2 linked regions of the Stegostoma tigrinum genome follow. The protein of the gene in region 1 purifies or fractionates together with the protein of each later gene. This does not show direct contact. Links are inferred from orthologs where the notes say so. Each region holds a gene or a part of one and is shown in the gene's direction. Other genes may lie near its edges.

What was found.
Region 2: the proteins of mmp2 (region 1) and col5a1 purify together in Homo sapiens (co-immunoprecipitation; 3 studies listed by BioGRID and IntAct, counting the BioPlex papers as one, with this or other methods). This does not show direct contact. The link is inferred for Stegostoma tigrinum from reciprocal best matches to the Homo sapiens genes MMP2 and COL5A1.

The regions. Positions count from the first base shown.
Region 1 is NC_081369.1:21,839,437-21,855,008, reverse strand, and holds the start of mmp2 (72 kDa type IV collagenase), read left to right. Parts: upstream 1-7,378; 5' UTR 7,379-7,588; coding exon 7,589-7,741; intron 7,742-8,733; coding exon 8,734-8,960; intron 8,961-12,076; coding exon 12,077-12,225; intron 12,226-15,572.
Region 2 is NC_081382.1:44,674,880-44,691,192, reverse strand, and holds the start of col5a1 (collagen alpha-1(V) chain), read left to right. Parts: upstream 1-9,336; 5' UTR 9,337-9,460; coding exon 9,461-9,560; intron 9,561-16,313. UniProt on the Homo sapiens protein: Type V collagen is a member of group I collagen (fibrillar forming collagen). It is a minor connective tissue component of nearly ubiquitous distribution. Type V collagen binds to DNA, heparan sulfate, thrombospondin, heparin, and insulin.

The DNA.
Region 1 (15,572 bases):
TTTTATTTGCGAACTCTGCAGATTGCCTTTCATCTTTAAATGTGATTTTATCATTGCAATTGTGAGTAAAGCAAGGTATGCAAAATTCTCGAAACTTCATTAAGTTTCAATGCGTCTGGCTAAAAATGGCAATTCTCAGGTGGCGCATTTCACATTTTTTGTCGGGTTGTTAAGTAATTATAGATGCCATTTAGGTCATAAGTGTCCATTTTAAAGCCATGTTAGTCCATGAAAATGTCAGGTACTAAAGTCAAATGTTGAATAAAAACAGAAGTTGCTGAAAATGCTCAGCAGGTCTGGCAGCAACTGTGAAGAAAAACATCAAAGCTATCATTTTGGGTCCGGTGACCCTTCCTCAGAACCAAAATGATGAACTTTGAGTAGTGAAAGTCCATTTTCAGTATGATCATATCACAAAGTAAGCAAAAATAAAGTTGTAAAAGTGTCATTTTTACTTCAATTGTAACACTTCCATCATTGGGTCAGAAGTTGTTGGTTCAAATCTGGCCAGATATTTGGCCACGTAACATAGGACGTGAAAGCAGCAGTAGCACACACAAACGTTTCCTTTACTTTGAAGGATCAAACACTGGTATATTTAGAAAATGTCTAAAGTAAGTGGATTCCCCACAGCTTTCACTATATATGAAACATATTGTCTCGATATTGCTGGATCTGATGAAATGTTGCTTCACCCTCATGCTCCACTGTGAAATAATTTTAGCCCATAAGTTAATGGAAAAGAGGGGCATCTAGTTCATTGAAGGATGAGGGGGACAATTCATGTTTCATTTCCCACTGAGGCTTTAAAATGTTATATTTAATCACCATTTCCAAACATATTATGATTAAGTCTACAACAGGTGAAGCTTGAACGCAGAACTTCTCCTGAGATAGGAACATTACCACCACACCATTAGACACCACATCAAGGGCAACCTCATGATCAAGAAATAAACAGGATTAAGTATTGTCATGTCAGATATAGAAAGAGCCATAAAGAGAGGGAAAAAGAGACTGATTAAGAGATTTTTTAAAAAGCATAACAAAGAAAATTAAACCTACAATGTCAATAATCTCTAACAACAATTCTGTACTGACAGGACTAACTCCTCAGTTTAGGTTGTTCACTTTCTTAGCTAAGTCTCAATGTTTAAAAAAAAATGTTTTGACTGTTAGGTCCCACTCCTAAATTTCTAGACTTCATTTGGTAATCAATATGCAAACACAGCAGTTTTGTGAAACCCGCAAGGAGATTCAAATCAAGCTGTGGTTCCTCTCTCGGGAGTGGGCATTTCAATTCATAGCATTGTCTTCCTTATCTACAGGTCTTGCACACTTTATACATTAAGCATGGTGTATGTGTATTAATTTCACCATTATTTAGGCAACAAAATTTGAGCCCATTATTTGCTTAAAAATAGCAATGTCTGTAAAACACATAAAGGCCTATTTATTCTGATGGTCAGATAGTGACTGGAACAGTACAGACAGGAGTTGTAAATACATGCAAACTCATGTCTGGGCCCTGAGGGATCCAGCATGCAAAAGATTCTGTGAGAATTGTTCAGGAAATTGACAATTCAAATGGACAATTCCCCTATGTTCAAAACCTCAAAAAGAAACTATTAAAGACAGAGAATTTGGAGGATTCCTCTTCAGTTAAGAATCATAGAATTTCTACAGTGTGGAAACAGTCCACTTTTCCACTTTTAATCCTGCCTAAACCTTCAATTCCTCCTTACTCCGTATGTCAATCTGCTCAAGAACCTCATAGTTTGTTTTAAATTCATCTGAAAGATGTCGGCATCGCCAGCTGGCCAGCATTGCTAGCCCATCCCTAGTTGCCCTTGAGAAGGTGGTGGCGAGCTGCCATCTTGAACCATTGCAGTCCACCTGCTGTAGGTTGACTCACAATACCATTAGGGAGGGAATTCCCGGATTTTGATTCAGCGACCGTGAAGATATATTTCCAAGTCAATGCGGTCAATGGCCTGGAGGAGAACTTGAAGATGATGTTGTTGCCATGTATCTGGTGTCCTTGTCTTTCTAGATGGAAGTGTTCGTGGGTATGGAAGGTGCTGTCTGAGGGTCTTTGGTGAATTTGTGCAGTGCATTTACAGATAGTACACACTGCTGCTACTAAGTGTCACTGGTGGAGGGAGTGGATACTTGTGGATGCCGTGCCAATCAAATGGGCTGCTTTGTCCTGGATGTCAAGCTTCTTAAGTGTTGTTGGAGCTGCATTCATTCAGGCAAGTGAGGAGTATTCCATCACACTCCTGACTTGTGCCTTGTAGATGATAGACAGGCTTTGATGATTCATGAGGTAAGTTACTCACCACAGTATTCCTAGCATCTGACCTGCTCTTGTAGACACTGTGTTTTTGCAGTGAGTCCAGATGAATTTCTGGTCAATGATGATCCCTCGGGTGTTGATAGTGGGGGATTCAGGGATGGTAACACCACTGAATGTCAAGGGTCAGTGGTTAGATTGTCTCTTATTGGTGATTAAATTGAATTGAATTAAATCATTTATTGTCACATGTATTCAATACAAAATACAGTGAAAAGTTTATTCCAAGGCCATGCATTGGCACCATTCTCAAAATAAAATCAAAATAAAGAAAGGTAACTTAAAGAGAATCCAACTTTTCCTTCTCCGTTGCTACAGTCCCACACCGGGCTCCACCAGCCCATGCCATGATGCTGCCAGAGTCCCACTTTAGGCTTCACCAGCCCATTCCATGCCACCACTAAAGTCCCACTCCAGGCTTCACAGGCCAGCCAACTCTATAGCCATGCTGCCACCTTCCTGCTGAAGGGCTCTCTTTATCAGATAAATTTAAGCAAAAGCTACAAAGAAGCTGAGAAAAGTAGACGAAAAAGGAATGGAAAAACAGGAGTGCCTGGGGACAGGAGGGCAGACGTTGCCTACTCCGCAAAAGTAGCAATTAATAAGATTGTGAACGTTGATAGAGATTGATAAGAATGTGAATGGCAATGGATGCAGTGGAAAGTATGAGGTTTCTTCCCAGGAATCTAGGGGATACTGGTTCAAGGTGTGGGGGGGATGTTTAAGAGGGATGTGCGAGGCACATTTTTCACACAAAGGGTGGTGAGTGCCTAGACCGTGCTGCCAGAGGAGGTGGTGGAAGCAGACACAAGAGCAACATTCAAGGAGCACCTGGATAAATACATGACTAGGAGGGGAATAGAGGGATACTGATCCTGTAAGTGAAGACAGTTTTAGTATGGAAAGGCAAAATGTGTCAGCACAGGCTTGGAGGGCTGAAGGGCCTGTTCCTGTGCTGTTGCATTCTTTTGTTCTTAGTTCCACCACCATTATCCTGGTTATGATCATCTTGTTGCTCATAGCCTGGCGTTTGTGTAGCACGAATGTCATTTGTTACTTGTCAGCCCAAGTCTGGACATTGTCCAGATTTTGTTGCCTTTGAACACAGACTAGCTCAGTAACTGAGGAGGCACAATGGTGCTGAACATTGTGCGATCATTGGTGAACATCCTCACTTCTTACCTTATCATGGAGTGAAGATCATTGGTGAAGCAGCTGAAGATGGCTGGGCCAGGATATTACTGTGACGGACTCCCGCAGAGATGTCCTAGAGCTGGGATAACTGACCTCCAACAACCATGATCAACTTCCTTTTTTCCAAGTACAACTCCAACCACTGGAGAGTTTTCCCCAGATACCCACTGATTCCAGTTTTGCTTGGGGTCCTTGATGCCACACTCAGCCCAATGTAGCCTAGATGTCAAGGGCTGTTATTCTCACCTCATCTCTGGAATCAGCTCTTTTGTCTACGTTTGAACCAAAGCTGTAATGAGGTCAGGACCTGAGTGGCCCTGGTGGAACCCGAACTGGGCATCACTGAGCAGGTTATTGCTGAGCAGATGCTGCTTGATAGTACTGTTGTTGACACTTTCCATCAGTATATTGATGATCAACAGTAGGCTGATGGGATGGTAATTGGCCAGGTTGGATTTGTTTTGCTTTTTATGTACAGGATGTACATGAGAAAATTTCCACATTGTCAGGTGAATGCCAATATTACAGCTGTACTGGATAACAAAGAGTGGAGCTGGATGAACACAGCAGGTCAAGCAGCATCTCAGGAGCACAAAAGCTGACATTTCCGGCCTAGACCCTTCATCAGAGAGCAGTTGTACTGGAACAGCTTGGCTAGGGGAGCAGCAAATTTGGGAACGCAAGCCTTCAGTACTATTGCTGGATGTTGTCAGGGCCTGTAGCCTCTACAGTATCAATTGTCTCCAATCGTTTCGTGATATCACATTGGAATGAATCGAATTGGCTGAAGATTGGTAGGTGTAGTGCTGGGGACTACTGGAAGAGGATGACTTGGATTATCCAGTCAACACTTCTGGCTGAAGATTGCCGCAAATGTTTCAGCCTTATCTTTTGCATAGATGTGCTGGGTTTTTCCAGCATTGAGGATGGGGATATTTGCGGAGCTTCCTCCTCCAGTGAGTTGTTCAATTGTCTACCACCATTCACGACTGGATGTGGCAGGACTGCAGAGCTTAGATCTGATCTACTGGTTGTAGAATTGCTCAGTTCTGTCTGTCACCTGCTGCTTATGCCATTTGACATGCACGTACAACATAGAGTGGAGGTGGAGGAACACAACAGGCCAGGCAGTATCAGAGGAACAGGAATGTTGACATTTCAGGTCGGGAACTTTCTTCATAAATATCTGAACCTGAACCGTCAACTTTCTTATTCCTCTGACGCTGCTATGTTCCTCCAGATCCACACAGTGTTGTCTCTGACTCCAGCATCTGCAGTTCTTGCTATCTCCTAAACATGCAAATAGTCCTGTTTGGTGACTTCACAAGGTTGGCAAATCATCTTCAGGTATGCCTGGTGCTGGTCTTGGCATGCCCTCCTGCACTCTCTACTGAACTACGGTTGATTCCCTGACTTGATGGTAATGGTTGAATGGAGGGGAGTATGTGAGCCATGAGGTTGCAGATTGTGCTGAAGTACAATTCTGCTGCTGTTGTGGCCCCCGGCACCTCACAGTGCCTCTTCCTGAATTCTGTATCTACATTCTCCTTCCCCTGAGTGAAAACAGATGTGAAGTAGTCTTTTAATACTCTACCAGTGTCTGCCAAATCCCATGCCCTTATTGTCCCTTTGGTCCCTAATGGGTCCTACTCTTCCCCTGATTATCATATTCCACTTGATATGCTGTACAATATCTTGGGATTCTCCTTCATCTTCTCCACCTGTACTTTGTTCTTTGCTCTCATAATTATTTAATTTCCCCTAATCATTTTCTATACTGTACTAAGGCCTCCATTTGTATCTGTCAAAAACCTCTCTTTTCCTTCTTATCGAAGGGTTTCATGGGCTTATTACACCTACATTTCATCATAACGGGAATATGTTGTGCTTGCACTCTCCCCAGTTCCTTTTTGAGCATCCCCCTACCCCACCTCCCATCCTGTGGATTTACCAAGAAGGGGTTGTTCACAGTCTACTGTGGCCAGGTTCTGCCTTAATTTAATAAAATCTGTCTTCCCCAATCCATATCTCTGTTTGCAGGCCAACATGTTCCTTTCCCATAACAAACTCATGATATTATACATTGTGGTTCACTAACACTAAAATGCTCCCCTATTGACACATTAAACATCTTCATTCCCCAGAATGACGTCCAGTACTGCATCATCCCTGTTGGACCTTCTAGATATTAAAAGCTCTCCTGAATACGTTGAATATAATTGAAGAGCAGAATACACCGAACACACTGACCCCTATAAACCCTTTACACGATGACTATCCCAATTAATACTTGAATATTTGTCTGGCCAACATGTAACTCCAGGCAACATGGTTGACTCTTAACTGTCCTCTGGGCAAATATGGATGGGCAATAAATGCTACCCAGCCAGCAATGCCCTCATCCCATGAATGAATAAAGAAAAAAAATTCCAGTATTGTATGAGATAACACAATGTGGAGCTGTTGGAACACAGCAGTTAAGGCAACATCAGAGGAGCAGGAAAGCCGACGTTTCAGGTTGGGATCCTTCTTCAGAAGCTTTTCTGAAACATTTCTGAAGAAGGGTGCTGACCCAAAACATCATCTTTGCTGCTCCTCTGATGCTGCTTGGCCCGCTGCGTTCCACCTGCACCATACTGTGTTATCCAGGATTGTATGGTTGTCGTTACTTGAACATGTAAAGATTAAGCAATGAGTTGGAACAGAGTGGGGTTGTACGTGCGACTCTCTTTAAAGATTCCTGTCAATGTACAAAGAACCAACCTAAATAGTTGGACGACAGTCCACATTAATGCCAAGTCTCAGCACTTTACACCTGCCTCAGCCCTTGTGCTGCCAATAGGTGTTGTCACTTCTAGGTAAACTGTGCAAAATGCTCGAAGTTTAACCCACAAACGGCCTTGAATGCACGGCAAATGCAGTATACTTTCCAGGAACAGCAATTGAAAATGATGCGTGAAGATTGCAGCCCCGTTCCTGTGTTGTAGCGAGCGGCCTCCTCCAGACCCTCCCACGGGCTGTGTTGGAGTTATTCGGCCAGCGAGCGATCCATTGCAGTTAACATCTGGCTGCATAAGCATGGAAAAAGATGTCTTGTCTGGCACACAAAAACACACAAAGACTATCTGGCGCCTCCAGGCTTGTGATTGTTCCAGTCATGCAACAAGTTTACAACACGCCCTTCAAATTAAAAATTGGCATTTTTTTCATCACTGCACTCTAGATTCTTAAAAAGGGTGGGTTTAAAAGTGCGAATCGTTTTAACAGGATTTTAATATACCCTTCATGTTTATATTGAGTATCAACACAATTAAGGGGCCAATATTACCCGTGCCTAGAATTACTTATTAATCATTATCTGTGGACTGAATGGTCAGTACATGCAGCTTTATTTCTGCAATTCTTCGCTTGAAAGATACATTTATACAGCGCCTTTCTCCATAACTGGATCTCCAAAAGTACATATGGAATGCGATTACTGTAAGGAAGAGATATTGCCTCAAGAGAAGAAAAATATCAATGGCGTACTTTGGGGTCAAAAGCCTGTGTCCTTTTGCAACCGATACAATTCTAACGTCTGAATTGTGAAATGAACTCAAAACCTGAGCGGTTTGTTTCACGTGTACTGTTTTTTTTTCGAAATATGATGGGAACATTGTTGCTTTCTGACAATTTTGGTGCATTTACCCAACGATCATGCCTTTAAAACAAAACTCGTTCATTTTCGGAACAGTCTTGTTTCCAAATATAAACTTGGGGCAGCCCCAGTCGCCAGAGAATGCATTTCCTTCGGTGGATTTTTTTTCAACTTCCGCCAGTCCTTCTGCTCTAGCAGATCGGTCGCGTCTGCGCATCTGGAAGTACAAAGGATTTCAGTCGGCAGGGACTCAGCTAAGAGCGGCACATAGTTGCCTGAGACTAGCTGTGCTGGCAAAGCAGAGAAACACTGCATAATGTTTGTGCAGTGAAGGATATCGCAGAGACACCACAGCAACGGCATTTCTTTTTGATAAATAGGTGCTCTCCCACTGGAAGAAAATGACCATGGAAACAAGCGGCAACTTTTATCGCTTAGTCTTAAAAGTAACCTTGCTCCAGATCATCTGGGTCCAGCAGACTTTAGCGGCACCGACTGGCATAATCAAGTTTCCAGGTGATAACAGCACGAAGACAGACAAGGAAATAGCCACTGTAAGTGTGGGGAGACGTTAACTTTCTAATGCCCGGCTGCCTTGCAAATGGCGTTTTATGTTAAGTGGTCGTTTTCTTTAGCTTTCACAACAGCTGTTGAAACGAAGGAAGCGATTACTTTTTCCCCCCTCAGTGGCTCCAGGGCATCAAAGTTTCTTAAAAGTCTAGAAGAGAGAACGCCACGGGGCTTGATAACATCTGTTCGTTTTGGCAAGGCAGGGGACCTTGCATGTAGACAAAACAAAACAATTATAGATAAGTGGAACCTCACATTGTTTATCTAAGAGCTATCCAATAGCTTAGTGATAGGATTAATCTTATATTTCAATGAACACAAGGGCAGGACTAAGTTTAAAAAAAATTTGGGAAATTAGTCACAAAACAAGTAGAACAAATGTAATCTTTCCATATGCCTACTGTGTCCGTATATATGTTACAAAACATTTAATACGTGTCAAATTAACAATGTACTTTGGATGCTAACTTATTGCCATAATTTAATAAGCATCCATACAAGATCCCGAAAGTTTGTGGGTATTCTAACGGTGTCTGTGCTGAAAAAATAATGGCATAAATCCAACTGCCTCTAGGATTACAGAAACACGTGACAGATTTCTGCAGGCTATTAGCCAATGAAAGTTGGCTTTTGGAGTATCAAGTTATGAATATACTTGAAAACGTTAACGTCAAGCGCACTACAAGTTTCAAGAAGTTAACACAAGAAAATCAGGATGTCTGTTTGACTTATCAAGTCCTTATAACACAATATTAGTGCAAAATGAAATCTGCAATGTAAATAAGAATTATAATGCATTTAAAGTGGTCAGCCCTCAACTTTTGAATCCATTCAGAATTTCTCAAATACACCAGCAAAGTTTGCCACAAGTTCAACCAACACAGAATCAGAGCATTTTCAACTAACTTGTTAATGTCTGTCTCAAAATCTTTAATATTTTACCTATACAAACATATTTCTTTATATTTTATATTAGTTATATTTGAATAAATTCTATGGCTGCCCGAAAGAAAGGTGTGATCTTGTGGTACTGTCAGACACACTGAAGAAGATGCAGAAATTTTTTGGATTACCACAAACTGGAGAACTGGACAGTGAGACAGTAAGTGTGATGAAGAAACCGCGGTGTGGAGTTCCTGACGTGGCCAATTACAACTTCTTCCCACAGATGCCCAAATGGGAGAATAAGCAAATAACTTATAGGTAGGTGTGTATAAACATGTGGAGTTTTCTTCGGTGTGTCTTTTAATCACTTATGTAACTGGTAAGACGGTTTCATTGGGATTGTTTCAATATTTAAAGTTTTCAAGAAGATTTGTAGCTCAGATGAGGTTGTAGACATGCTTGCTGAGCCGGTAGGTTTGGTTGCAAACATTTAGTTACCTTGCTAGGTAACAACTTCAGTGTGCCACCAGTGAATGCAAAAACACCAGGCAACTCCAGACTAGCCACTGTATAGAAAGACCACACATACAGACCGAATACTCAATTACACTAGTGATCACCTCAGTGCCCATAAACAGAGCTGCATCAGGACACTATTTAAATGAGCCACAACACATTGCAACAACCCAGAACAATGCAAAGTGAAACAGAAGCACATATATGGAGCCTTCAAAAGGAATGTACTCTCGAAAAGCATAATCCACTGTTACCTCCGAGACAGATCACAATGGGAAGACACAACATGACCAGAATCACTAATCACCCTACCATTATTCAAAGATGACAACAAGACTACTCAGACCCTTGGGTATCAGGGCAGCCCACAAACCAGCAACCATCCTGCGACAGCTGCTGACAAATCTAAATGATTCTATACCCAAAACCAGTGTAATATATAAAATACCATGCAAGGATTGTGAGAAACACCACCTGATCAAACTGGAAGAAAACTGACAATAAGGATACATGAACATCAGCTAGCCGCCAAGAGACACCACCAGTTCTCACTTGTCTCGCTACTCACAGACAACAAGGGACGCAATTTTGACTGAGACAACACATCCATAATAACACGAACCAAGCAGGGACACACCAAGGAATTCCTGGAGGCCTGGCATTCTAACGAACACATTGAATTAGACCCAGTGTACAAACCAGAGAAACAGAACCAGAAGTGGTACGAAACACCCCAGCAAACTGAGGCAAATAAATAACCAGAGGCACACTGATGATGTTACCAAGCAGGGTGATGAAACATTTGCAACCAAATCCACTGGCTTGGCGAGCATGTCTAAAACTTCATTGTTTCAATATGCTGTAGGGAAACGAAAATAGTTTTTGATTGATTGTTGTATTACTCTGTTATTTCAAAATTGTTTCCTTGAAGGAAAGATATTAATTGTTTAATCGGTTGTTTCATTAAATGCATCATGAAAATTGTAATAGAAAGCAATAATAATATATTTAAAGGAGGACTTGGTGAAACGTAATGTGAATTTAGTCCTAAAATAAGAACGAGAACAATTTTCAGTAGATATCTTGAGTAACAAAGACTATTTACAGCTGTTTTTTAGACTATGAAAAATGTTCATTCGAAATTTTGCTGAAATATAAGATTTATCCAGAGCCTCCGTTAGGACCAAATAGAATCATAGAATCCCCACAGTGTGGAATCGGGCCATTCAGCCCATTTAGGTCACTGACCCTCCAAAGAGCAACCCATTCAGACACACTCTATCCCTATAACCCTACATTTCCCATGGCTAATCCACCTCATCTGCTCATCCCTGGATACTATGGACAATTTAACCTTGGCAATCCACCTAACCTGCACATCTTTTGGACTATGGGACGAAACTGGAGCACCCAGAGGAAACCCATGAGACACGGTGAGAATGTGCAAGCTCCACACAATTGGTCATCCAGGGGTGAAATTGAACCTGGATTCTTGCTGCTGTGAAGCAGCAGCGCTAACCACTGAGCCACCATGAGCATTCAAGCTAGAAGAGTGGTGATCAGACACATTTCAAGCGAAAAGAGGAGTATGATAAGTTTGTGTACTATCACCAAAATTAGTCGCTGTACACAGTGAACAAATATACTTCTCTGAAAGGGTCATGAATCTGCTGAATTCACTACCCTGGAGTAGAGTGATTGCCAGTGCACTGAATAAATTCAAAGATTAGATAGATAGACTTTTAATTAGTAAAGGGTCATAGGGAGCGGGCAGAAAAATGAGGCCGAGATAAGATCAGCTGTGATCATGTTAAATGGCAGAACAGGCTGCAGGGCATGAATTGCCTACTTCTGCTCCTAGTTGTTAAATAATTAGCGGATTAGATTAACTTCTATGGATGATGAATTGGGCAAGAATATAACAGACTGTGGTATGCTGATGACACACCACTTCTTGCAGAATCAGAAGAGACCCTACAAAATGTTATAGATGCAGTAAAATTTTGAGGCTTAGCCAGTGGATTGTGTACGAACACCCAGAGGGCAAATAAAATGTTACTCCGATGGAATACAAATGTACTAGAGTGAAGAATGAAGTTGATGGTGTCACACTGGAATAAATAGATACTTATCTGTACTTATCAAATGATAACTGCATTTGGCAGATGCAGTGCCCTAGTTAGGGTAACAACAGAGGTAGACAGAGGTAATTTTGTAAAATGAAGGTTTTATTCTCAACATGAAAACTTTTGTTTGTAACAAGAAATGAACTCTCAAAACTCTCCTATATGCCTAAGGAAGCTGGACAGCACATCATGATCTGTGGAAGAAAATAGAGTCCTTTTGAAATGTGAATGCTGAGAACATAAGCTAAAAATTGGATAGACAGATCATAAGACAAATGAAAAGGTACTTGAAGTTTCAAGAGCTGTGACACTCTTAAAGAGTGACATTCAGAAAATAAAATGTCACTCTTTCAGCCATTTGGTCAAGGTGAAAAGCTGCAGGAATTGCCTTAGAGGGCAAAATGGAGGGCAGCCGTTGGAGAGGTCACCCTGGGGTATTTCAGTGATTGGGTGTCACAGAGCAGTTACAGAGAAGGAACAGTAGATTTGTGAGGATGGTGCAAGACAGACAAACATGACGGACCACAACATGAGCTCTCCTGGCAGGAGTAGCCAAGAACAGAAACAGCAAGGTACAAATCAATGAACTTATGAAAAGTATTTCCTGTTACCACTTAAGGAAAGAAAAGACTTGCAGTCAACAATGTGCCAAAAAGGATTTGTTTTTGCTTAAAATAAATCATTGTATCACTGTAAATTCTAATGGGAGTTATGAGAAGGATTTCTGTCATTGCTGCCTTACATTACTGATTAGGCATATCAAGCTGAGCTTCTGCTGCTTATTCCTTACAGGATTTTGGGATACACTTACGATCTGGACTCTGAGACAGTGGATGATGCTTTTGCTCGGGCCTTCCAGGTATGGGCTGACGTCACACCACTGTCATTTTCAAGGATCTTCGATGGAGAGGCAGACATCATGATCAACTTTGGCCGTTGGGGTAATAATTAAATTTCTTGAAACCTAACACAGATGTTGGATTATAAATATTCAACATGGCTTTTGTCAGTGATGTCTAAATGGGACTTTTATGTGGTGCTTCCATATAAGAACACTTAATCCAAGTATTTGTCAAACACTTTGTGTTAAGCAGATGTTTTGGACCCAGACTTCTAAGAGCATAAACCTTGTATGACCAGTGGAATTGTGACTGCCAACATCCACCAGCATTGCAATTTTCTGTATCAGGAGGAGAGGATCTACACTGTATGGTGCAAACACTATTCTGGGTACATCTGCACCACCAGCTTGTCACATCTATTTGAAAGTTTTAGTTTCCACTTGCCATTGGCAAATGCTGTCCAGATCCTACTTCAGTCAAGTTCAAAAATAAAATTCTGGAGTTGCTGTAAATCTGAAATAAAAACGGGAAATGCTGAAATATGCAGCAGGTCAGACAGCATTTATGGAGAGGGAAAGAGAGTTAATTTTCAGGTCAGTGCCCTTTGATTGGAAGGTCACCGACATGACACATTCATTCTTTTGTCAAGACAAATGTTCCTTGGTCCCCACATTAAGGATGTGGATAAGGACATTAATCATTTTTTTAGATGTATTCTGTGTGGACGGCTGTGTGTGTGTTTTTGGAGAGAAAGGTGGTAGTGTGCACAGGGAAGGTAACAATGCTGCTAGCCTGGATTCCACAGGTGGAAGTCAATATGCCTGACCTTCCTATGGGCTTTCACTGATACACTAAGTAGTACTATATCTTCAGGAGTAAACAATTCTTCAGAATAATTTCCTTCATACGGGGCAGGTAAAGGTATTGGCCAATATAAGGTAATAAGAAAATGCCCATCCCAGTCTATGCTACTTATTTAGAGATCTCTCAGTTGCGATGTTGAATTATAGTGGTAGACTTGGGGAGGCAAAGTGCTTAAACAATGCTAAACACTTCTGCCAAAGGCATGGCCAAGACTGCTAACTTGATTTGCAATTATCAATTGTACAGCCAAATCATTGACACTAGTTGATTCTTGAAAGTGGTGCAATGGCTCATTGGATAGCACTGCTGCCTCACTTCACCAGCGACCAGGGTTTGATTCCACCCTCAGGTGTCTGTCTGTGTGGAGTTTGCACATTCTACCCACGTCTGCATGGGTTTCCTCCCACAGCCCTGAATGTGTAGAATAGGTGGATTGGCCATGCTGAATTGCCCACAGTTTCTGGGGATGTGCGGGTTAGGTGAATTAGCCATGGGAAATGCAGAGTTACAAGGATAGGCTAGGGGGGTAGGTCTGGTTGGGGATACTCCTCAGAGGGCCAATGTGGACTCTGGATCAAATGGCCTGCTTCCACACTGTAGAGATTTTATGATTCATCTTGAATAATTATCATAACACCTTTCAAAATCTTTTGCATGCAGATATTTTGTATTATTGTTCCTATTTCAAGCATGAATATTTTTGAGTACAGTCTTAATCTCAAGTCATTTTTATAAGAAAAGAAAATGCATGTATGAACGTAAGAAAATGATGGGCAGCAGAAATGCATCCAGCTTGATCCCCATAGTTGATCTGTTATGCAGATTTTAATAGAGGTTTTGTACCCATGTGAACTGATATAATTTCCTAGAAAAGGCAAGAAATCCAAATGAAAGACCAAGCCAAATTCAGGAAAAAGCATTGAAAATTCCATTCTTGCTTCTTTAGTCCATCAGAACTAGAACAGGAGATCATATTGCCCATGACTGATGTTACAGGGCATCCATATCTTGTACAAAGCAATGCCCACACCAGCCAGCAAGTCTAGTCTTTCATGAAGGCTTACAGAAAATCATTGCATGCTAATATGAAGCAAAATACTGTGGGTGATGGAAATTTTAAGTAAAAACGCAGCTCCTCTTATCTTCATTTTGTTCCTGCCCCCTCCACCCCTACTTAGTCTCTTTTATCTTGATTTTTGCTTTCAGCAGACCTGACTTATATTCTCTCTATGAACACCTACTAGTAGCATCTGCTTTGGACCTCTCCTTTGCATTCATTATCACTCCCTTTGCCTTTTGTTCTGTTACACCTGAACTGTCCAGCCTCCCTTATCCTCTAACCTTTCCCTGGTCTTTCAATCTGTTACACTGCCCATCTTTTCCACACACAGAACTCATCCTTTTCCACTCTCTCTTCAATTCTGAGGAAGAGACAGAAAGAACTTGAAATGTTAACTCTGTTTCTTTCTCTACAGATACTGCCAGAACTGCTGACTTTCTCCAACACTTACTGTTTGTATGAGCTGGCAAACTGTTCCACTGATTCACTGTTTTTCTGGAAAAGGAGGGCTGACTAACATCAAACCTAGCTTTGTACTTATGCAAACTGTAACTAGCCTTCCTATCTATCCAATTAAAAACAATGACACACGGAAACTCAAACTATTTCTCACATTATTTTATAAACATCGATCAAATCATCTCTGTGTCTAAAATGTTCTAAAGCAAAGCTTATCTAGTCTAGTCAACCCATTTAAACTGGGAATTAATCTGTCACTTCCTTTGCATGTTTTCCAAAACTGCAACATTTCTCATCATGTGAAGAGGTCAAAGTGGAGCACTGTCTTCTAAGACTCTAACAAGGTCTTACAGAAGAGCAAAATTGTATGCTTTGCTGCAAATTGTCCTATGATTGCAACCTAGAACCTTGTTTGCTTCAGCTGTAGTTTCACAACACTGATCATGAACCTTTCAAAAGTGAGTACAATATCTCGCTTTTTCATTTACCGTTGGCTGGAATATCATTTCCTGCAGCAAAGATTCTCATATGCATAGGAGAGATAACAAGGTGTAAAGCTGGATGAACACAGCAGGCCAAGCAGCATCAGAGGAACTGGAAGGCTGACGTTTTGGGCCAAGAAGGGTCTAGGCCTGAAACGTCAGCCTTCCTGCTCCGGTGATGCTGCTTGGCCTGCTGTGTTCATCCAGCTCTGCACCTTGTTATCTCAGATTCTCCAGCATCTGCAGTTCCTACTGTCTCTCATGTGCGTGGCATCTTATTTTTCTGAGTAGAGCATTGTTTGCCAAATGTGGGTCTATTTCAATGAGTTGGAAATCTTCTTGAAGCTGTTAAGTATCCCTTAGGAATCTACCTTCACACAGCTTTATGTCTTCCACAAGCTTGCATACCATATCCCAAACACTTTGTACAATAGAACATTGTAAGGGAAACAAACACTAAAGTTAATGTAGACAAATACTGCAATAAATTCAATTGTTTGCATATTACATTCCCATTCCATGCTGCATTCAATGTTTTGCGTTGTAATTTCTTGTGCATCTTCCTTGTTCTATGCAATTTT
Region 2 (16,313 bases), on another chromosome or scaffold:
CTAGACCCTTCAAGGCCCGAAACGTCAACTTTTTGCTCCTAAGATGCTGCTTGGCCTGCTGTGTTCATCCACCTCCACACTTTGTTACCTCATAAGATCACTGATGCGTTGGTTTTAATTTTTCAAAACTCCCTTGATTCTGGGACAGTCCCATTAATTTGAAAGATAGAAAATATAACTCCTTTACTCAAAAAGTGATGGAGGCAGAAAGCAGGAAAGTACTAGCAGGTTAGTTTAACAAATGTCGCAGAGAAAATGTTTGAAGTAATTATTAAAGTTCTTATAACAGAGCACTAGGACAAGTTCAACGTAATTACCAAAAGGATGTGGATGCTTGGGACAGGGTGCAGAGGAGGTTCACCAGGATGTGCAGGTCCACCTCTCTGATGAAGGGTCTAGGCCTGAAACGTCAGCTTTTGTGCTCATGAGATGCTGCTTGGCCAGCTGTGTTCATCCAGCTTCACATTTTGTTATCTTGGATTCTCCAGCATCTGCAGTTCCCATTATCTCTGATCACCAGGATGTTGCCTGGTATGGAGGGTGCTAGCTATGAAGAGAGTTGATTTTTATTAGAAAGACAGCGGTTGAGTGGGGACCTGATTGAGGCCTGCAAAATCATGAGAGGTATAGACATGGTGGATAGCAAGAAGCTTTTCCCAGAGTGGGAGACTCAATTACTAGGGGTCACAATTTCAAAATGAGAGGGGAAAAGTTTAAGGGAGTTAAGCGTGGAAAGTTATTTACGCAAAGGGTGGTGTGTGCCTGGAACGCATTGCCAGCGGAGGTGGTAGAGACAGGCATGATAGTGTCATTTAAGATGTATCTAGACAGATAGATGAATGGGCAGGGGGCAGAGGGATACGGATCCTTGGAAAATAAGCGACAGGTTTAGATAGAGGATCTGAATTGGTGCAGGCTTGGAGGGCCGAAGGACCTGTTCCTGCGCTGTAATTTTCTTTGTTCTTTGTAATCAAGCAGAGCCAACACACTTTTGTGAAAGGAACATCATGTTTAACCAATTTATTAGAGTTCTTTGAAGAAGTAACTCATTCTGTAGATAAAGGGGAACCAGTGAATGTATTGTACTTAAATTTCACGATGTCATTTGATAAAGTGCCTCATGAGACTATAGCAGCAGTAGGAGGTCATTCAGCCCATTAAGTGTGCTTTGCCATTCAGTGAGCTCATGACTGATATGACAATCTTCATCTCCACTTTCCAGCCTGTTCCCCATAACCATCCTATTTAAAAATCTGTTTATCTCTGGCTGGAATACACTTAATGACCATACCTCAACAGCCCTCTGCGCTAAAGAATTTTACACATTCACTAACCTGGGAGAATAACTTTCTCCTGATCTCTGTCTTAAATGTACAACTCCTCACTCTAGATTCCGGCCCCTAGCCCTACACTCTCCTACAAGGGGACACAACTTTGCCACATCTCCCCTGTCAAGCCCTCTAAGAATTTATGTGTTTTAATAAAGTCGTTTCTTATTCTTCTAAATTCCAGCGAGTACTGGCTCAACCTACTCACCCTCTACTCATTAGACAGTCCCTCCATACCCAGGATCAGCCAAGTGAACTTTTTCTGCACTGCCTCCAAAGTCAGTCTATCTTTCCTTAGATACACGGGACAAAAACTGTTCACTACATTCCGACTGTGATCTGACTGGTTCCTTGTATGGTTTTAGCAAAGCCTCCCCTATTTTTGGACTTCATTCTCTTTGGAATAAAACTCAACATTCCATTTGCCTTCCCTATTACCCACTGAACTTGGATATTGGCCTTTTGTGATTCATGCACAAGAACTCCCAAATCCCCATGCCCTGTAGCTTTCTGCAGATTTTTTGTCCATCTAAATAATGCTCAGCATTACCTCAATCGGTGTTTGGATTTGAGGGTGGATTTTGACCCTCATTCCCTCCAGCAGGACTGGATCCCCTCTCAGTGAGACAGTGATCTCCTGTCTGCAGATGTCAAGAAAGCAAGTTGATAAGAAGGATCTGGGACAGAATGGTTTAAATTTGAGGATTTGTGGGAGGAATCTGATGGGATTGGTGGACAGTCGGCCCCAAGGAGCAGGAGAGAAGAGATGGGGAGCTGTTAGTCTCTGGAGACTGAGGCATTGTCACAGTGTTCAAAGGACACAGCCTGTGAAAGTGAGGGCAGGGTCACTCCAGCCAATACCACCCTATCCCTCAGATTCAATCCCCCACACACCATCCTCCCATCCCCTCCTGCTTCTCCTGATCAAGGTATTTCCATTCTCTGCTCCACAGCCATCATCTTGATTCAGAGGGAGGGACAGTGACCCTCCACTCTCTTCCCTAAGCTCCAAACCATCAAGGACTGATGTTAGAAGGGAAAGTGAGATTTAGAGAAAAAAAAAGAACAGAGAGAGAAACAGAGAGAAGCTAGCCACCAGGATACATGAACATCAACTAGCCACAAAACAACATGACCCACTATCACTCGTATCCTTACATACAGATGAGGAAGGACACCACTTTGATTGGGACAACACATCCATCCTAGGACAAGCCAAACAGAGACACGCACGAGAATTCCTAGGAGCATGGCATTCCAACTGGAACTCCATCAACAAACACATTGATTTGGAGCGAATCTACCACCCTCTGAGAAAAAGAACAGGAAATGACATCACCAACACAGGAAATGACACCACCAACCCAAGGAAACCTAAACAGATAAATAGAAAGCAGGACATAACACCAGCGCTTTGTTGGAGGCTCACTGATGATGTTACCTAGAATGGTGACGAAACGTCTGGGAACAAACCGGCAAGCTCAGTGAACCAGCTTACATCTGGAACATAATAAAGACCTGCTCTCTTGTGGACCGAGAGGAGGAGAGTGCTGTCTTGGAGGTGAAAGGAGGACGTCGGGTTGGCTGTGCACCCTTGCGACCAGTGGATCTTAATGCTGGCTTCGGCCTAACGCTGGTTCAGGGGAGCAGCCAACCTGCAACGATGGCTGCGGCAAGTGCTCGTGCTCCAGGTCAGGGGGTCCGGAACACCATCCGTGTTTCCGTAAAGAAGGTGGATGAAGGTGCACCTGTGGACCGCACCTTCTTCGTGAAGAGGGTCCTGTTGGACTGTTGTGGATTCACTGCTGTGGACATTTACTGCCTGCAGGATTTCCCCGGAGGAGGTTTTTACAATGTAACCTTCAGGAGTGCCAAGCTTTGCGAGCGTTTCCTGGAGGTTTTCAAGGAGAAAGGAGGTGAGGCCCCCCTCTCTGTATTGACCGCTGTCCTGCTGTTTGTGATGCCAGCGCAGAAGAGCCGTATGGTGACTGTACATATGTACAACCCGCATGTGCCTGCAGTTGATGTCCTGACCTTCCTCGGAAGGTACGTGAAGGTGGAAGGGGACCTAACTGACATCATGGACCCCTTTGGCATCTGGACGAGTAAGAGGCAGGTCAAGGTGACGCTGAGGATGGGCGCAGACGGGAATGTCGTACACCCACCATCCAGCTTCGCGATCGGCGGGAGCAAGGGCTACCTGACCTATGCAGGGCAACCTAAAGTCTGCCATGCCTGTGGTAGGTCAGGTCACGTGGCGGCAGACTGCAAAGCCACCAGCTGCAGGAACTGCCGGGAGGAGGGACACCTTGCAGAGAATTGCCCACAAGAGAAAAGCTGCAACCTTTGCGGGGAAGCAGGCCACCTCTATAGGGCATGCCCGCAGCGGGGGACCACCTACACCCAGGTCGCCGGCAGGGGCAATGCGGGGCCAGCCCCCCCCCGGAGGAGAGGAAGGCACCTGGGCCCAGCAAGGACCCCACTAATGTGCAGGAGGGCCAGGCCGTGCAGGAGGGCCCAGCCCCGCAGGATGGGCCCGAGGCCAGCAAAGCACCCCTGCAGGCTCCGCTCTCCCCCGACAACCCGGAGTCGATGGAGGCGGCGACAGGCGACCGGGGGAGTGGACAACAGTCCGGAAAGCGAGGAGGAAGGTGCGTCGACGGGCCCAGGAACCGCAACCATCAGGCGGGAAGAGGCAACTACAGGGGGGCTATAAGAGCTTCTCTGACGAGGGGGATTTGGAGAGGGCCCACCCGAAGCAGAAATTAAAGATCTCGAAGGAGAAGGAAAGCAGCACCCCGCTTCCAGGTGACGGGAGGCGTCCTGAGACTCCCTCCGACACCCAGTCAAGTGCCGCTGGGGCGCTGGAGGGCCCCCCGGAACTTCCAGGCGGGGAGGAGGAAACAACGCGTCCCCAGCCTGACCCGGAGCCGGACCCTCCTGCCTCCACACCCCTGACGGGGGGATGCCACCCGGAAGGCAGCACAGATGGTTTCCTGAGCCCGGAGAGCGTCCAGCAGTTAGCCCGGGCAATGGGCATGAAGGGACAGATGGAGGGGCTGGACCTTGGACTTGGGGAGGGTACTGCGGTCACTGCCCACAACGGGGGTACAAGTTGCGAGCATTAATGTGCGCAGTGTCAGGTCCACCGCAAGATGTGTATCCACGTTGGCCTACCTGACCACCATCGAGGCGGACCTCCTGTTTCTGCAGGAGTGCAGGATACCGCACCTCGGCAGGTATGGGAAATGGTCCGGCGTCTGGACCTGTGGGCCTTCGATCTGGTCAGGGGGTAACGACTGTCGCTCCTCGGGCCTGGCTATTCTGCTGCAGGGGCGCAACTTCACCATCTCTCAAGTTCAGGAGGTGGTGGGGGGGGCGCCTCCTAGTGACTGACATCACCTACAGGAACGCTCCCCTGAGGCTGATCAACGTGTATGCCCCAGCGGTACGTAGTGAGCGGTTGGCCGTCCTGCAGCGGCTTCCACCCCTGCTGGCTACGTCCAGGCTGGTCATCCTAGGCGGAGACTTCAACTGCATCATCGATGCAGATGGAAGATCCGGCGTGGGGACAGTGGGTGGGGGGAGTCAACTGGACGTCACGTCCAGATTCCTGATGGGCAGGGTGAAGGACGCCAAGCTGCTCGACGTCTTCAGCACCCCTGCAGACGGAGCGCAGCGGAGGTACACCTGGTCGCTGCCAGACGGGTCTATCCGCTCAAGGATAGACTTCCTGTTTGTGTCACGGGCGCTCTCGGTCAGGTCCACCGGCGTCGAGCCGGTGTTCCTCTCTGACCACTGCCTCCTGCTGGCCGACTGTCACTTGCAGGACGACCAGCCGGCCGGCAAGGGGACGTGGAAGCTCAACACGACTCTGTTGACCCCAGAGAACGTCGAGGAGCTTAAGAGGGAGTACGCCGGTTGGAGAACCGTGAAACCCCTCTTTGAGTCTCCGGGCGACTGGTGGGAGACAGTGAAGGAGAACATCAAGAGGTTCTTTGTCCTCAAGGGTGTTCAGAAGGCAAGAGAGAGGCGGGGAAAGCAGTTGCGACTCCAGAAAAGGGTGCAGAACCTGCTCCTTCTGCAGTTGATGGGGGTCGATGTCACAGAGGACCTCCGCGAGGTGAGGGGCCAGCCAGCCTCGCTCTTCGCCGCGGAGGCCTCCCAGATAATCTTCCGGTCCAGGGTCCGCTCCGTGGAGCAGGATGAGACGTGCTCGCGTTTCTTCTTTCAGAAGGTGCACAAAGAGAGCTCTGTGCTTAGCCGGCTGAAGGAGGACGACGGCTCGATGACGTCGTCTCGGCCCGATATTTTGAGGATCAGCAGATCCTTCTATGGCGGACTGTACAACACGAAGCCCACGGACAGCACGGCCTCCGAGTCGTTCCTGTCATCTATTACGGAGGTCTTAGATGACGGCACGAGGGAGTGGCTGGACCGGCCGATATCCCTGGACGAGCTGACCAGAGCCCTCAAGTCCTTGGAGAGGAATAGGACTCCCGGAAGCGACGGCTTACCGATCGAGCTGTATTCCGCTCTGTGGGGCCTGGTCGGCCAGGACCTGCTGGAGGTGTACGATAGTGCGCTTCGGGCAGGGGAAATGTGCAAGTCCATGAGGAAGGGCATCATCACCCTCATTTACAAGAGGAAGGGGGAGAGGGAAGAAATTAAGAATTGGCGTCCCATTTCACTATTAAACGTGGACTACAAAATCCTGGCCAAGGTCATAGCCAACCGGGTCAGGTCTGTCCTGGAGTCAGTGATTCACCCTGACCAAACCTGTGCTGTGCCGGGCAGGAAGATCGCTGAGAGCCTCGTGCTCATCAGGGATACGATCGCCTACGTACAGGACAGGCGGGTGGACACCTGCCTCGTCAGCCTGGACCAGGAGAAGGCCTTCGACAGGGTCTCTCATGCTTACATGAGGGACGTCCTCTCCAAATTGGGGTTCGGGGAGGGCATCCGCAATTGGATCCGGCTGCTCTACGCCAACATCGTTAGCGTAGTCTCGATCAACGGGTGGGAATCAGACAGTTTTCCTGTTAGATCTGGAGTCAGGCAGGGCTGCCCGCTCTCTCCTGCCTTGTTCGTGTGCTGTGTGGAGCCCTTCGCCGCCTCCATCAGGAAGGACGTGAGCCTGAAGGGCGTGACTATCCCAAGCAGCGGAGGCCTTCAGGTCAAGACCTCTCTGTACATGGACGATGTCGCCGTCTTCTGCACCGATCGTCGGTCGGTGAGTAGACTATTGGACATCTGCGGCCAGTTTGAACTGGCCTCGGGTGCCAAACTCAATAGGGGTAAGAGCGAGGTCATGTTCTTCAGGAACTGGGACGACCGCTCCTTCATCCCCTTCACCGTCAGGACAGACTACCTGAAGGCGCTGGGTGTTTGGTTTGGTGGAGCTGGGGCGTGCACTAAGACCTGGGAGGAGTGTATCACCAAATTGAAGCAGAAGCTGGGCAGGTGGACGCTCCGGTCCCTCTCCATCGCGGGTAAGAACCTGGTTGTCAGGTGCGAGGGGCTTTCGGTACTGTTGTATGTGGCACAGGCCTGGCCTATTCCCTGGACCTGCGCCGCTGTAGTCACCCGGGCCATCTTCCACTTCATTTGGGGGTCGAGGATGGACCGGGTCCGCAGGGACACCATGTACAAAGACCTGGGATAGGGGGAAAGGGCGTACCTAACGCCACCCTCGCCCTGACGGCTACCTTTGTGTGCGGCTGCATCAAGCTGTGCGTAGATCCTCAGTGCGCAAACACCAAGTGTCACTACTTACTGAGGTTCTACCTGTCCCCGGTGTTGCGAAGGATGGGCCTGGCCTCGTTGCCACGGAACGCTCCGAGTAGTTGGACCGTTCCGTACCACCTGTCCTTCGTGGAGAAATTTTTGAAAGGAAACACCTTTGACCACAAGGCCGTCAGGCAGTGGTCAGCACATAGTATCCTCGGGACCCTTCGGGAAAAGGAGAGGGTGGATCCCGTCGTGTGGTTCCCCACACAGACTGCCAAAGTCGTTTGGCAGAATGCCTCATCGCCAGAACTTTCAAACAAGCACAAGGACATTGCTTGGCTGGCGGTGAGAGGGGCTCTGCCAGTGAGATCCTTTATGCATGCCCGGAATCTCTGCACCACCGCACGCTGCCCTCGAGGTGGCTGCGGGGGGGACGAGACTGTCGATCACCTCCTTCTGGAGTGTGCCTATGCGCAAGAGGTCTGGAGGGGGATGCAGTGGTATTTGTCGAGGTTCGTCCCGAGCAGCTCCGTGACGCGGGACTCCGTGCTCTACGGGCTGTTTCCAGGGACGCACACCGAGACCAACATCAACTGCGCCTGGAGGACCATCAATGCGGTGAAAGACACTCTTTGGTCTGCCCGCAACTTGCTGGTCTGCCAGCTGAAAGAACTGACCCCGACCGAGTGTTGCAGACTGGCGCACTCCAAGGTCCAGGACTACGTGCTGAGGGACGCGCTAAAGCTTGGGGCAGCCGCTGCCGAGGCGTGGTGGGGAAAGACCATGGTATGAAACCCCTCGTCCAGAATAGAAAAAAGGGCCCTATCTGGTAACTGGGCCTAGCTGGCGCCTTCCCCAACTGGTCAGGGGGCCAACGGGGACTGTGCGGGGTGACAACTGCCGGGGTGTTTTCTTTGCTTTGTTTTTTTTTGCTTTGTTTTTTTCCTTTAGTTGGTGTATGTACCCCCTGGGTAACCCGGAGTGGCTTGCATGACTGGGTAGGTGTGTAAATATGTTTTATTTTTTGTACATCTTATGAATAAAGTATATTTTTTCAAATAAAAAAATGGTGACGAAACGTCTGAAAATGAACCTTCCAGCTCAGCGAGCAAACTCACATCCAGAACCTCAAACTGAGCTACAAATCTTCTCAAAACTTGCTAGAAACAGAGACAGATACAAACAGAGAGAGATAGATAATGAGAGAGAGAGATGCAGACTAGAGTGAGAGATAGATAGAATGCAAGAGATAGAGAGAAAGAGAGGCAGACTGAGAGATATAGAGAGTGAAAGATATTGAGACAAACTGACAGCGGAAGAAAGGATCAAAGGTACAGAATAAATAAAGGTGTGTGTGAAATTGTGTCTTCACAATCCACTTGGCATCCTGCTATGGGAACTTGGGTGTTTTGGGACCTTGTGTTTGGAATCCTTTGCAATCTTGTCTTTCAGGACCTTCTGTTTGAGATCCTGTGTTTTTTGATCTTGTGACTGGGATTCTGTGTGTTGGCATCCTGTCTGAAATTATGTGTATAGAACCTGTGTTTGGGATCTAGAGTGTTTGGAATCCTGTGTGATTGTACATTTGGCATCTTGTGTGTTGGGATGCAGTGTACTAGGATCCAGTATGTGTTTGGATCGTGTGTATGTGGTGGGACTCTGCATGGAGTTCTTGTGTTATTGGAATCCTTTGCTTTAAGATCCAATTTGTTGGGATCTTCTGTGTATTGGGATCCTCTGTGTGTTGGAATCCTGCGTTTAGGGATCTAGTATGTTGGGATCCTGTTTGTTCTGGCATCCTGTGTGAGTTGGGAATCCTGTGGGTTTGTATTTGTTCGATGGTGTATTGTTTAGTGCTTAAATTTGCCGCTTCAGACGCGGCCTCTCCGGTTGGTTGATGGAAATACAACAAAGTTGGAAATTGCAGCCTCAGTTCTCGGTCTGTTTCCAGCGCCCTCCCTCCTTAAGTGCCCAATAAAGTGCAGGCTGTTCTGGGCGGTCTCAGCCCTTTGAGTTTGAGTGGGCAGTGAGTGGGGGGGGGGCGAGATCCCAAACCACCAAACTCTTCTTGTTCCAGCTTTTTGTTGCTGCAGAATTGTTCAGTTCCAGGAAACTGTGTGTGTGAGAGAGAGACCAGGTTTTGCTGTCAGCTCGGGGATAGAAGGGCCAGTTTGCCGAGGCAACAGAGAGGCGCCAGGAGCTGGGACTGGGAGACCGAAGAGAACCCAAATCCCCCATGGCTTCATAGATATCATCCACCCCCCCCCCCCCCCCGCCACCTCATCACGCCTGTGTGCACCCCAGCCCCTGAATTCCTGGTCCCCCCCACTCCGCCCCAGACATTGTAACTGCACCCCACCTCCCCGTAACTGGGCTGGTGACAGCAGCAGCTTGTGCACGATATGGATAACCGGAGCCGGTGGAGGAGAGCAAGAACGGTTTGGGACTGTGCTGTAACTTTACAAATCCTCATCCTCTCAGTAATAACTTATGTAAATGCAGGTAAGTGCAGACTGTTTCTGAACCCAAACTGCTCTCGCCAGGAGCTCAGCGGCTACAAACTCCATTCAAAAATCCTCCGAAGTCATTGGTTTAGGATTGCAAGTGAACTAAATCAGACAAGTTCTCAATTCCACACCCCAACCCCCCAACCTACACAGTCTCAATGTGGAGTCCATTAGTTGGTTTGAATTGAGTGCATTCCTTTTCAAAAAGATTTTTATTTTGTGAGATAAGATTCCCCCGGATCCCTGTTCAGACTCGGCTCTGACACAGCTCGCCTTAACCAATCAATTCCCCGAGAAAGCTTGCTTGTTCTTCTGTCCGCGTTCATGTTTAATTTGGAAGAATTCTTTTTGTGTCTCTCCGGATCAGCTTTAGAACGGGCTGCTGGCTTTCTCTGTACCTAGTGTCAGTTCCCAGACACAATGCTTCCTGCTGTCCCTAGTCACCATTTCACAAATCCCATTTCTAACACCGGCCTCAGCATCTCCCCCAAAACTGAATAGCCTCCTGGGACAGCGCTGGAGAGTTTGTAAAGTGGGAGATTGAGAACAGCCCTGGGGTGTGGGGTTGCATTTGGACATTGGTTCAGGCCAGTTACAGATGAGTTATGAGAACATCTTGATGACTGAATTGAAACCAGGAGGTCTGGCAGCCGCGGCAGATAGTGAGAGGGACAGAGAGAAGCAGTGTTACCTTTCCAGGCCAGTGTGATTCTTCACGGTGTTAGTGAATGTTGCAGTTTAAGTGAATCATAGTGAATTACAGTCTACATTTCTGCTGAACTGGGAGTTGGAGAGGTCCCAATGAGATCCTGATCACAGGGATTGAGGGAATAATTTCCCTATGCATAGGGTCAGAGAAATCTACAGCACAAAAAAGGCCCTTTGGCCAATCTTGTTTGCGCTGGTCAAAAGCAACCACCTAACTCTTCTAGTCCCATTTCCAGCACTTGGAATCTGGTGGAGATTCACCTGCACTTCATCCAACCTTATCTATTGCGTCCGCTGCTCCCGATGTGGCCTCCTCTACATTGAGGAGACCAGGCACCTACTCGGGGTCCGGTTTGCGAAGCATCTGCCCTCTGCATGCAACCAGCCCGACCTCCCAGTTACCACATGCTAAAACTCCCCCTCCCAGTCCCCTAGTGACATGTCCATCCTTGGCCTCCTCCACTATCAGAGAGAGGCCAAACACTAACTGGAAGAACAACTCCTGATATTGCGCCTTGGGCCCTTTTCCCTGAATGGCTTGAATACTGACTTCACCTGCTTCAAAATCTCTCCACCCCCAACCTGTCCATCTTCCTACTCACCTATCTGCTCCACCCTTCCCACTGAACAACACAATAATCCCCTACCTGCATCCACCTATCTCCATCTCACTTACCCTCACCTCAGCCCATCCTCCCGCTATTAATTTCTGGTCTCCCCCTCCCCTTCTCAATTCTGATGAAGGGTTTCAGCCTGAAACATTGACATCCCTGCTCCTTGGATGCTGTCTGATCTGCTGTGCTTTTCCAGCTCCATATTTATTGCTTCTAGCTTCCAGCACCCGCAGTCCTTACTTGTTCAGTGGACTACAGCTTGTCTGCCTTGGTATTACAAGTATATATCTGAATACTCCCTCAGAGTGATGAGGGTTTCTACCTTTCCCACCCTTACAGCCAGTGAGTTCCACATTCCTACCACCCACGGGGTGAAACAGCTTTTCCTCACAGCCCCCCACCCTTTACCTTCAATCTCTATCACACTCGTCACTGATTCTTCTACCAAAGTGAAGAATCTCTTTCTCTCTGTTCCCCTCATAATTTTATACTTCTCAATCCATTCCCTTCTCTGTCTCCTGTAATGGAGGAGAATGTTACAGAAGAGAGGCAGTTGCCTGGATTTAGATTTCCTTTGGGATTTGGTTACATTTGAGACGGTAACTGCCTTTGAAATATGAACCGATAAAGCCAAGTCTCAAACAGATAAAAGGGCTATTGCTAGCTTGAAATTTCTGAAAAGCAGACAGTACAGCTGAACCAGGTCCTGCCACTTTCAGGATGAGAGGATGGGGACAGCACTGACCCTCTGTGTCCTTGAACCAGGAGACTGGCCTCTCACATCTTCCCAGCTCAGGGAGATTTCCACTCTGTCCAGCCCAACCCCAGTGTAATGAAAGCTGTCACTGAGACAGTGCAGCTCAGGACGGATCATCACCTATCTGAGTGGGCCCTTCCCCAGGCAGACAGGAAATTGAAGAATAATGTTAGCCTGGTGCTGACACGATAGGCCGTGGTGTGCTCTGTGCTGGACGTGTTCCTGTGATACCATGTTACAGGATTGAAAGAGTCAGTTGCCAGTGTTTTTGGGTGAGGGGAGGGTTGAATGGAAAGGTTCAGTGGGGGCAGGAAAATGATTTGGGTGAGGCTGGTGGGAGTGAACTGTTGGGTTATTAGCCCAGGGCAAGGGTTCAAATCACAGCCGTTGTCCTTTGAGCTGAGTGCCTTAGATTGACCAGGACCAGAGACTCTGTCATGAGCAACTGGTGACCAGCTGGGAGCCAGAGAAATGACCAAGTAAAATTGGGCAGATGTTTATCTGTAACCCATAGCAACTGGTCACTCAAACTGTGAGATTATGATTGGTCACGCTAATGGATCACTCAGGCAGTGTGTCTGTGATTGGTCATTCTATTTGGTCACTCAGACTATGTGACCCTGATTGGTCTCTCTAACCAGTCACTCAGGCTCTGTGATTTTGTTTGGTTACTCCAAACCCAAGGGCCCAAACGTGAGTTTTTTTATCCCATACACACTGAATGGGAAGCAAAGTTCCATCAAGAGAACAGGAAAATCTGCGAATGTTTGTCTGGAACAGGGAATTTGTGTGAGCACGATCTTGTCTGTGTGACTGTGTGTGTGTGTGTGTGTGTGTGTCTGAGTAAGTGTGTGATTGCATATATGTGCGTAAGCGTGTGCCTGACTGTATGGTTGAGTGTGTGTGTGTGTGTGTGTGTGTGTCATCGTCAGCACCATTACAGAGTTATAGGAGACTATGAGTCTCACTCTGAACACGTACGAGACAAACGTCCTCCAACAAGCTGGCCAGGCAATGGAGACCAAACCTCCTAATCAACAAGATCCATGGGGTGATCTTAGAAAACATCGGCCACTTCCAATATCTCAGGAGTGTCCTCTTGGCCAAAGCAGCAATTAATGAGGACATTCAGCAGTGTGCCTGAGGAGAAGGGTGTTTGAAAACAACTGCATCAGATCCAACACCAAGCTCATGGCCTATAGGGCTGTAGTGGTCCCTACCCTCCCATGTGGCTCTGAGACATGGACTGTCTACAGCAGACACCTCAAAGTACTGGAGCAGTACATCAATGCTGCCTGTGCAAGATCCTGCAGAGCTGCTGGGAAGAAAGACACACCAACACCAGCCTCCTCGATCAGGCCAACATCCCCAACATCGAGACACTGACCACCCTTGATCATCTGCATTGGGCTGGGCATGTTGTCTGCACAACCGACACAAGACTCCCCGAGCAGGTGCTCTGGTCCCAGCTCTGAAACAGTAAGCAAACCCCAGGTGACAGAGGAAGTGCTTCAGGGATACCCTTGAGGCCTCACTGGCAAAGTGCAGCATTTCCACAGACATCTGGGAATCACTGGCCCAAGACCACCCAAAGTCGGGGAGGTGCATCCGGGAAGGTGTCGAGCACGTCGAGACTTGCCGTCAGGAAAAAGCAGAAGTCAAGCGAAAGAAGCGCACTGCCACACCAATCCCACCCCCCGCCCTCCCTGTGATCACCACCTACCCCAAATGTAACAGAGGCTGCGGAAGCTGCACCAGTCTGTACAGCCACTTAAAGACTCACCCTGAATGTGGAAGTGAACCATCCTCATCTCTGAAGGACCAACAATGACGATGGTGTGTGTGTGTGTGTGTGTGTGTGTGTGTGTGTGTGTGTGTGTGTGTTTCTCTCTGCGTGTTTGCATGCATGTGTGTGTGTCTGTGTGTACATGCATGTGAGTGTGTGTGTGCGCGCGCGCATGTTTGTTCATACATGTGTGTGTGAGCATGAGTGTGTGTATATGTGTGTGTACGCTTGTGTGCATTTGAGTGTGTATATATACGCTTGTGTACGTGTGTGCATGTGAGTGTGTATATATACGCTTGTGTACGTGTGTGCATGAGTGTGTATACATATGTGTGTGTATACGTGTGTATGTGTGTGTGCATGTGAGTGTGTATATGTGTGTATACGCTTGTGTATGTGTGAGTGCATGTGCATATGCATGTATGCCTCTGTATGTACATGCATGAGTGTGCATGTGCACACGCGTATAGAGCTACTTGCTTGCACTGTGTGTGTGAGAGAAAGCTCATTTGCACATGTGCTTTTGTGTGTGTGTGTGTGTGTGTGTATGTGTGCGCGCGTGAGTATGTGCACAAGTGTGTGTGCACATCCATGTGGGTGTGCGTGCATGTGTGCATGTTTGTGCTTGCATGTGTTCATGCATATATGTGTGTGCATGTGTGCACGCCTGTCTGTGTGCACAAGTATGTGTTTGCGCGTGAATATGTGAGTATATATATTTGCATGTGCGTGTGAATGTGTGTACGTGTATGCACGTGTATGAGTGTGTGTGTATGCGTGTGTCTGTGTATGCACCAATGGGTGTGCACATGCACATTTGTGTGGTTGTGTGTGTGCATGAGTATAAGTATGTGACAGTGGCAGAGGAAGGTAAGTGTGATGTTGTATTTGGAGCATATTATGTTCTGGGATTGGGTAGTTATCTCTGTAACCAGCAAGTTAAATTGGTAATAAAATGTGAGGCTGGATGAACACAGCAGGCCAAGCAGCATCAGAGGAGCAGGAAAGCTGACGTTTTGGGCCTAAACCCTTCATCAGAAATAGGGGAGGGGAAGTGGGTTCTGAAATAAATAGCGGGAGATGGATAGAAGATGGATAGAGCAGAAGATAGGTGGAGAGGAGACAGACAGGTCAAAGAGGTGGGGATGGAGCCAGTAAAGGTGAGTGTAGGTGGGGAGGTAGGGAGGGGGACAGGTCAGTCCAGGGAGGACAGACAGGTCAAGAGGGCAGGATGAGGCTAGTAGGTAGATGGGAGTGTGGCTTGAGGTGGGAGGAGGGGATATGTGAGAGGAAGAACAGATTAGGGAGGCAGGGACAAGCTGTGCTGGTTTTGGGGTGTGGTAGGGGGAGGGGAGATTTTCAAGCTTGTGGAGTACATATTGATGCCATTGGGCTGCGGGGTTCCCAAGCGAAATATGAGGCACTGTTTCTGCAATCTTTGGGTGGCATCATTGTGGCACTGCAGGAGGCCCAGGATGGACATGTCACCTGTGGAATGGGAGGGGGAGTTGAAATGGTTCACGACTGGGAGATGCAGTTGTTTATTGCGAACCGAGCGTAGGTGTTCTGCAAAGCGGTCCCCAAGCCTCCGCTTGGTTTCCCTGATGTAGTGAAGACCAGACCGGGAACAGCGGATGTCGTATACCACATTAGCAGATCTGCAGGTGAACATCTGTTTGATGTGGAAAGTCTTCTTGGAGCCTGGGATGGGGGTGAGGGAGGAGGTGTAGGGGCAGATATAGCATTTCCTGCAGTTGCAGGGAAAAGTGCCGCGTGTGGTGGGGCTGGAGGGGAGCATGCAACGGACAAGGGAGTCATGGGGAGAGTGGACCCCCAGAAAGCAGATAAGGGTGGAGTGGGAAAAATGTCTTTGGTGGTGGGTACACATTGCAGATGGCAGAAGTGTCGGCGGATGATGTGTTGTATCCGGAGGTTGGTGGGGTGATACAAGAGGATGAGGGGGATTTTTTTTGGCTGTTATTGCGGGGAGGGGATGTGAGGGATGAGTTGCGGGAAATGCAGGAGACTCGGTCGAGGGAGTTCTCGATCACTGATGTGGGAGAAGTTGTGGTCCTTGAAAAATGAGGACACCTGAGATGTTCAGGAGTGGAATGCCTCGTCCTAGGAGCAGATGTGGTGGAGGCAAAGTAATTGGGGATGTGGGATGGCATTTTTTGCAGTAAGTTGGGTGGGAGGAGGTGTATTCTAGAACATAGAACATAGAACATTACAGCACAGTACAGGCCCTTCGGCCCTCGATGTTGTGCCGACCTGTCATACTGATCTCAAGCCCATCTAACCTACACTATTCCATGTACGTCCATATGCTTGTCCAATGACGACTTAAATGTACCTAAAGTTGGCGGATCTACTACCGTTGCAGGCAAAGCGTTCCATTCCCTTACTACTCTCTGAGTAAAGAAACTACCTCTGACATCTGTCCTATGTCTTTCTCCCCTCATTTTAAAGCTATGCCCCCTCGTGCTCGCCGTCACCATCCTAGGAAAAAGGCTCTCCCTATCCACCCTTTCTAACCCTCTGATTATTTTATATGTTTCAATTAAGTCACCTCTCAACCTTCTTCGCTCTAATGAAAACAGCCTCAAGTCCCTCAGCCTTTCCTCGTAAGACCTTCCCTCCATACCAGGCAACATCTTAGTAAATCTCCTCTGCACCCTTTCCAAAGCTTCCACATTCTTCTTATAATATGGTGACCAGAACTGTACACAATACTCCAAGTGCGGCCGCACCAGAGTTTTGTACAGCTGCAGCATAACCTCTTGGTTCCGGAACTCGATCCCTCTATTAATAAAAGCTAAAACACTGTATGCCGCCTTAACAGCCATCTCAACCTGGGTGGCAACTTTCAAGGATCTGTGTATG